2 linked regions of the Xenopus tropicalis genome follow. The protein of the gene in region 1 binds, or shares a complex with, the protein of each later gene. Links are inferred from orthologs where the notes say so. Each region holds a gene or a part of one and is shown in the gene's direction. Other genes may lie near its edges.

The links. Proteins that work in one complex are often made in the same cells at the same time.
Region 2: snrnp200 (region 1) and lsm3 share a complex: the UniProt entries of both Homo sapiens proteins name them as parts of the U4/U6-U5 tri-snRNP complex. The link is inferred for Xenopus tropicalis from reciprocal best matches to the Homo sapiens genes SNRNP200 and LSM3.

What each region holds. Positions count from the first base shown.
Region 1 is NC_030679.2:125,093,299-125,096,947, reverse strand, and holds part of snrnp200 (U5 small nuclear ribonucleoprotein 200 kDa helicase), read left to right. Parts: coding exon 1-67; intron 68-475; coding exon 476-612; intron 613-694; coding exon 695-775; intron 776-1,052; coding exon 1,053-1,226; intron 1,227-1,317; coding exon 1,318-1,455; intron 1,456-2,359; coding exon 2,360-2,515; intron 2,516-2,713; coding exon 2,714-2,884; intron 2,885-3,035; coding exon 3,036-3,229; intron 3,230-3,496; coding exon 3,497-3,620; intron 3,621-3,649. UniProt on the Homo sapiens protein: Catalyzes the ATP-dependent unwinding of U4/U6 RNA duplices, an essential step in the assembly of a catalytically active spliceosome. Plays a role in pre-mRNA splicing as a core component of precatalytic, catalytic and postcatalytic spliceosomal complexes.
Region 2 is NC_030680.2:132,914,101-132,918,265, reverse strand, and holds the end of lsm3 (U6 snRNA-associated Sm-like protein LSm3), read left to right. Parts: intron 1-106; coding exon 107-217; intron 218-305; coding exon 306-401; intron 402-3,193; coding exon 3,194-3,274; 3' UTR 3,275-3,622; downstream 3,623-4,165. UniProt on the Homo sapiens protein: Plays a role in pre-mRNA splicing as component of the U4/U6-U5 tri-snRNP complex that is involved in spliceosome assembly, and as component of the precatalytic spliceosome (spliceosome B complex).

The sequences.
Region 1 (3,649 bases):
CTGGTTCTCTTGCTGGGGTTCAACACATTTGACTTCATCAAAGTACTGCGGCAACATCGTATGATGAGTGAGTTTTTTTTCTACATTTGTGTTGGTTTATTCTGCAAGAATTCTTTTAGGGGGCCCATTTACTAACCATCGGATTTTAAGTACAAAAAGTCACAGGAAAAAAATGCTGCGACTTTTCAGAGATTTACTATTTGTCTAAACGGCTAAAAATCCATATCTGACAATTCGCAAGGTTAAACTTGCTAAGTTGATGTAAAAGTCAAGGGCAGAGGTCCCTTCCCTTTCATTGAAGATTCTTCATTTGAGGAAATGAGTTTAGTTGAGTTTGAAAATTTTTTTAAAAAAAGACAAATTTTAGAGTTTTTGTAAATGTGCCCCTTAGTGTATTGGTCTTGTTAATGTCGTCATACACACTGTAAATATCCCCTAACTTAAGGTTTTTGACCACTCTTATATTCTTTTGCAGTTATGTATTGCACACTCTTGGCCAGTGCTCAGAGTGAAGCAGAGAAAGAAAGGATTATGGGCAAAATGGAGTCCGATCCTGAACTCTCTAAATATCTATACCAATTACAGGAGACTGAAAAGGAGGACCTGATTCGGGTAAGAGATGATGTTCTTAGAGAGGAGATTCTTTTGCTGTGTTTTCATTTATAGGCATTTATATATATTATTTTATTTTCAGGAGGCACGTGGGCACAGAGACAAGGTTAGGCAGTTAAACGTAGACATGGATTTGGAGAACATGGAAACAGAGCAAGGAGAGGTAGGCATGGAATACTGTTCCAAATTAAGACTTTGTGCAGTGCCAAGGCAATGGTAAAGAAGGAACAAGTGAAGCAGGATAATGTCATTTAAAATGTAACCAATTTCTTTAAAAAGGTACCTAGATTAATAGCATTTGAAATTTTATCCTGCAGGTTAATTACATATGTAAGCCAGTAGCAAAATAGAAGCTGTATTAAGCTAATATGATAAAAGCCATTTGTTTTTTTGTGATAATCCAAGGGTCATTTTGGTTTTGTCTTTTTATTTCCATCTAGGCTTTCGCTCCTCGTCAAGTATTGGACTTGGAGGATTTGGTTTTTGCCCAGGGTAGTCATTTCATGGCAAACAAACGATGCCAACTGCCTGATGGCTCCTTTAGACGTCAGCGAAAAGGGTATGAAGAGGTGCATGTGCCTGCCCTTAAACCCAAACCTTTTGCTTCTGATGAGGTAAGTGGAGTTCTTGATATTGTTGGACTAATTTTCCTTGTGAACTTGGATTGCCTCACTTTTTAATTTTTCTTTCCTTTTACCTGTTCAGCAACTGGTCCCAGTTGAAAAGCTACCTAAATATGCTCAGTCTGGCTTTGAAGGCTTCAAGACTCTGAATAGAATCCAGAGCAAATTGTTTAAAGCTGCATTGGAAACGGATGAGAACCTGTTGCTCTGTGCTCCCACCGTAAGGACTTTTTTCCTTATAATGCAATTTGTACACTTTGCATAATGTGCAAATATACTAATAGAGCCTTTTGTAGTTCACCTTTCAAACACTTATTTCAGTTCAGGTGTTGCTTTCAGTTTTTTTCATTTTTGACCATTTTTCTTTCTTAAACTGAAGTTTCAATTTTAAGGTTGTTCTCTCTGGTGTTTTAGTCATCACAGTTATCCAGACGCAGACTTTGAACTGTTACAGTAGGTAATAACATTCCATAGATGGTGCTAAGAAATGTATCAACTAATGTAGCAAAAATGTAGCTACAGCAGCTGCTGCAGAGCAACATAGGGCCAAAGATAAGAAATGTTTCAAATTAGAACAGTTGGTGATCCCCTCCCCCTTTTCAGAGCTGCAGCTGGGAAATGTGAAAAGATGTAAAATAAAACTTTAATATTCAATTAGAAAAAAGGTCAAAACTAAAATATAGAAAACAGTTTAAAAAAAGTATTTTATTTTAGTAACTTCCTGAAAACAACTAAACTGAAAAAAGTTTTCAGAAGCCGAACAACCATTGTAATGAATGTTTTTTCACTCTACTATGCACAAGGTGAAACTGCAGCAATTCTTAAAGGATGATCAGTTTCAGACTGATGCCCAGAAGTAAACGTTTTATACAATTTAAATTCTTGCAGTGATAGACTTTCTTTTTTTCCCCCAAATCAAGCCCCTTTCCGATATCTACTGGTGAAAAATGACTATGAGTTGTCTGGGCTCCCTCCTACCTTTCCCCCATTACATTAGTGTGAAAATTAAGCATTAGGCATTTCTTTATTAATCGGAAATTAACACATTTTCCTTGTTTATTATAATGACGAAGAAAAAAAGAAATTGGAACTGTGAATTTATTTTTCTCCTTTTGTTTTTCTAGGGAGCTGGTAAAACAAATGTAGCTCTCATGTGCATGCTCCGGGAGATTGGAAAGCACATAAATGTGGATGGCACCATCAATGTGGACAACTTCAAAATAATCTACATTGCTCCCATGAGATCCCTGGTCCAGGAAATGGTGGGCAGCTTCAGCAAGGTAACTTCAATTCTTACATCCCAACTGAGCCATATTTCAATGCATAATATTGGTGCTTTATGAAGTGGGAACATGTACCTAACATGGTGTTACTTACCTCATATGCATCAATACCAACTCCTAGTGTAGCTTTTGCTTATCACAAGAAGCATTCTAACAGGGCATGTTGGGCCTTATTGTCTGCATTTTCCTTTGCAGCGTTTGTCAACATATGGCATTACCGTGGCAGAGTTGACAGGAGATCACCAGCTATGTAAAGAAGAAATTAACGCCACACAGATCATAGTTTGTACCCCAGAAAAATGGGATATCATCACCCGTAAAGGAGGAGAGAGAACATACACTCAGCTTGTCCGTCTGATCATTCTGGTGAGGTCAAGGGACTAGCAAAGCTTGCCATCTTAATCTTTTGTGCCTTGTTTCAGTGTGTAAAGTTTTAGGCAACCTATTAAGTTAGTGGACTGTCCTGGAAATGACTAGTGGAAAGTAACTTATATCTAACTTGAGACTTTTCTTCAAGGATGAAGTACACTTGCTGCACGATGATAGAGGTCCGGTGTTGGAGTCTTTGGTCGCTCGAGCGATTCGTAATATTGAGATGACACAGGAGGATGTCCGGCTTATTGGTCTCAGTGCCACTTTGCCTAATTATGAGGATGTAGCCACATTTCTTCGTGTGGATCCTGCCAAGGGGCTTTTTTATTTTGACAACAGGTATCTGCTTCAACCATAGAATTAAGAACAAACTGCATTTCTAATCATTAATGTTTACTAGTTCATGAATTATGCATCCCAGTGTTTGTGTGTGCGTTTGGCTGTTAGTGGTGCGGCCATTACAGTCATACAGTTGCATATAATAGGAAACAAGGAATGGTCACTATTAAACATAGTAGATGAGCTTGAAAAAAGAGACACATGACAAGTCTAAATTGTTTGAGAAACAATTTTACAATATTTATCTTTATTTAAACATCTTTTCAGTTTTCGTCCGGTGCCACTGGAACAGACCTATGTAGGCATTACAGAGAAAAAGGCCATCAAACGTTTCCAGATCATGAATGAGATAGTTTATGAGAAAATCATGGAGCATGCCGGAAAGAACCAGGTTTGCACTTTTTCTAATGCTTTGGAAAG
Region 2 (4,165 bases), on another chromosome or scaffold:
TAATGTGACACTGTTGTGTTGAATAAACTTGCATGTTTGAGCAAAACTGGTCATGGTGCTGAGTATTGTATTACATCTCTGTTTCCTCCCCTCTCCATCGATCTAGCAACAAACCACAAATACAGTGGAAGAGCCTCTGGATCTGATCAGACTTAGCCTAGATGAACGGATCTACGTTAAGATGAGGAATGACCGAGAGCTGCGTGGACGTTTACACGTGAGTGTTTAGTATAGGTGATTTGTTTTGTGCGGATCATATTTGAAGCGTAAGGAAAACCTGTTTCCTTGTTTGCTCTTTTATACAGGCATATGATCAGCATTTGAACATGATCCTGGGAGATGTGGAAGAGACCGTGACAACCATAGAGATTGATGAGGAGACATATGAGGAGATTTACAAAGTAAATATTATTTTAATTGCATTCCTTTTATTGCATTTACACACGGATTTATTACCTATATATATCTCAGTTACTGGTTGCTTAAGAAATTAAATGAATCTATATTCCGATAAGGTATACCTTTTTAAAAAGGCTTTGTGGCTTAGCCTGCTGAGCAACAAGCACAATAAATATTTGTATTAAAAGGGGCAAATAATGCCATAAAGTGAAAATTCATATAAGATGTGAAAAATTGTAACCCTTAGCAGGGCCGAAACTAGGGGTAGGCAGAAGAGGCCCGTGTCTGGCCGCAATGGTCGATGGGTGCCAAGCAGGTACCTCTACTGCCTAATTACCCTGAGTTCCATCCATTCTGCTCTGAGCCTCGCTTAACACTGCTCTGTCTTGCTCCTCCCTCAACCCATCTGTCACTGTAGCGCTGGTAGCAGGGGCGAATGGGGGAACCAGGGAGGGGTGACGCGTTGACTGCCATGGGCTCAAGCGGCTGTCCCTTGGGGTGCAATTTACTTATCACTCGTCTCTATAGTTGCCATATGTACCACAAGATAGCAGCTCCCTGACACCTTAAAATTGCTGATATCAGAATAGCACTCAATAGTAAGAAAGCCAGTCCAGCTTGGGACTCCTCCAGTTACATGGGAGTAGGAGAAACAATAGGTTGCCTGAAAGCAGTTCTAATGTGTAGCGCTGGCTCCTTCTGAAAGCTCAGACTTGGGCACAATGCACTGAGATGGCGCCTACACACCAATATTACAGCTAAAAATACATTTGTTGGTTCAAGAACAATGTTAAATGGTAGAGTGAATTATTTGCTATAGAAATACACCATAAAATCATGTCAAAATCCCTTTAAACCTAGGCAACGAGGTTTAGTATAGAAATCTAGTTTTCTAACCCATTCTTTATTAAAAAAAAAAGGGGGAAGATAATGGTAAACAAGTGAATTGTAATCTTTAACCCTTAATATCAGTAAAAAGTGCAATTATGGGTTCTCTGGCTTCCTACAGAGTACAGGTATAGGCCCCATTATCCAGAATGCTCGGGACCAAGGGTATTCCAGATAAGGGGTCTTTCCGTAATTTGGATCCCCATGACTTACAGATACTACAAAATCAATAAAACATTAATTAAATGCAATAGGTTTGTTTTGCCCCCAGTAAGGATTAATTATATTTTAGTTGGGACCAAATATAAGGTATTGTTTTATTACTACAGGGAAAAAGGAAATCATTTTAAAAATCTTAATTATTTGATTAAAATGGAGTCTATGGGAGAAAGGCTTTCCGTAATTTGGAGCTTTCTGGATAACGAGTTTCCGGATAACTGATCCCATACGTGTACTGAAAGTAGGGCTGCTACTTGGTTTGGTTTTAATTTTGTCTACCAAAATCAGGTCGGAGTCATTCTAGAAACTTGTCTGAAAAAGTATCTGCTTCCCCTGAACTGTACTGAATGCAGTTTGGCAGGCATTTTACCCACTTATGTGGATTATTTAAGTTTCCATTCTGTAGACAGATGCATAGTTACTATAGATTTTACTGTGTTTAGCATGAAAAATGAAATCAACATATACCATAAAAGCAATTATTTGATGTTTTGCTAACATCTAGTTTATGATGTATGATTAGGGCAGAATCATATTAGACATTGCACTGATCATGAGAATGTGGTATATAGTAGGCCTCGCAAGCTGCTGCTCCTACCTACAATATAAAGGAATTCATGTTTTAGTTTGTCACTTTGTTGGCATCTTTCCCTGATTATCTCCTGCATTAAATATATTCTGCATAATTTTCAGTACCTGTGTGTTAATTTTATTAACACGGTTTGGATTGTTTTGCTTTGCAGGAGCTCTAGTGTAGTGCTGCCCTCGGAACTTAAGGAGAATCAGACAGTATGATTCCCAATTCAGGGTCGGACTGGGCCGCCAGGATACCGGGAAAAATCCCGGTGGGCCCCGGCGGCCCAGACCCGACCCTTGCCCGTGCCCGACCGCTCCTGCCCCGACACGTTAATTTTACGTGCTAGGGGGAGGACATCGGTTGGGAGGCCCTCTGGGGGCACGGGCACCTGCAGGGCCCCTGGGGCGGGACCCTGCCCTAATTTAATTGGTTTAGGTTGAATGTAGGTGTGAGTTTGACACAAGAGGCAGTAATGACATTATGTGGGTATAAAGACTTGCCAGCTGTGAGTTTGTTGTTTAAAACCAGTCCTTTACTTACAGCAGTAACTATTTGTAGCTTCAATAAAAAGGTTGGTTTACCCTTAACTGCACTTAAACCTACTTAAAGGAGAAGGAAAGGCTAAGTCACTTGGGGGTGCCAAAATGTTAGGCACCCCCAAATGACTTAGATCGCTTACCTTTTACCCCGGGCTGGTGCCCCTGTATGGAGAGAACAGCACCAGCCCGGGGTAGCAGCGAGCGCTTCCTACTTCCTATTCGCTTGCGAGCGCATGCGCAGTAGAGTGAAAAGCCGAACTTAAAGAACAAAGTCGGCTTTTTACTCTACTGCGCATGCGCCGGCCGACGGATTTCGCCGGGAGAAGAAAAAGGAAGGAGGAAGTGCTTCCTACAGGTACCCTGGGCTGGTGCTTTTTTCTCCTAACAGGGGCACCAGCCCAGGATACAAGGTAAGCGATCTAAGTCACTTGGTGGTGCCTAAAATTTTGGCACCCCCAAGTGACTTAGCCTTTCCTTCTCCTTTAAAGCTGTGTGTAATTCTATTGTGTTCTAAATTGTACTTTTCTGTAATGCAAAATTTACAACTTTTTTTTTCCCCCTTTTGTTTCAGTCTACAAAGCGGAACATCCCTATGCTGTTTGTAAGAGGCGATGGTGTGGTTCTTGTAGCTCCTCCCTTAAGAGTTGGTTGATTTCCTTCTAACAAGCTGTTGTCCTGTTACACCTCTGGATTTTAATTTGCTATGATTACTGAACCTTTTTTGGATACCCACAGGAACTGCAAGGATCAGTTGGCACTTAAGTTTATCCTTTAAATGGAAATATCTTGTTGCTTTCCTATATTGGTGAACAAATGTGTTTTAATCAAAAACAACCAGGCTAATGGCAGACGCCGTTTTTTTTTTTTTTTATAAATTTGTTTTGATCGTTGTTTATACAAGTGGGGATTGTATAAGTTTTCCTTTCTGTTGACATCAGCTGCATAGTTAATACAGGTTTTACTGTATTATGATCTAATAAATTTGATATTTACCATTTAATCAGTCTGATGTCTGGTAACAGGTTCTGTAATTTATCATTCAAAAAGCCTGTAACCGTTTTCATTGGGCTTGGTGATAATAGTCTGAATGTGAATAGTCTAAATACACACTAGCTGAGGTTCCTGGCATTGCCTGAGGAACTTGATGTCTTTAAAAAAAAGAATACTTAAAAACACGGTTAAACACTTGTACTACACATAGGGGGGAATTCACAAAAGTGGAGAGAGCCTTTTTTGGAGTAAAAGTGATGGAAAACTTTCTCCAGATTCACAAACAGAAATCCGCCTAAGTTCCGACTCAACTACCACTTTTCCGTTTTTGGTGAAAGAAAGACAGTTTACAGACTCTCTTGTGAATTTGTCATTTAAACGTAGTTTTCCTGCCATTTCCAAAATGGAGTAAAGCTCAGTGTAACTCTGTCAGACCAATTCTAAGCTCTGCTGTTTTGCTTTTTCACCCAGTCTCCCTATCCCACCTCTGGTAGGGGCCCCATTGGGGGATCATGAACATGTTAACGGGGATTAGCAGACTCATCGTTAGGGG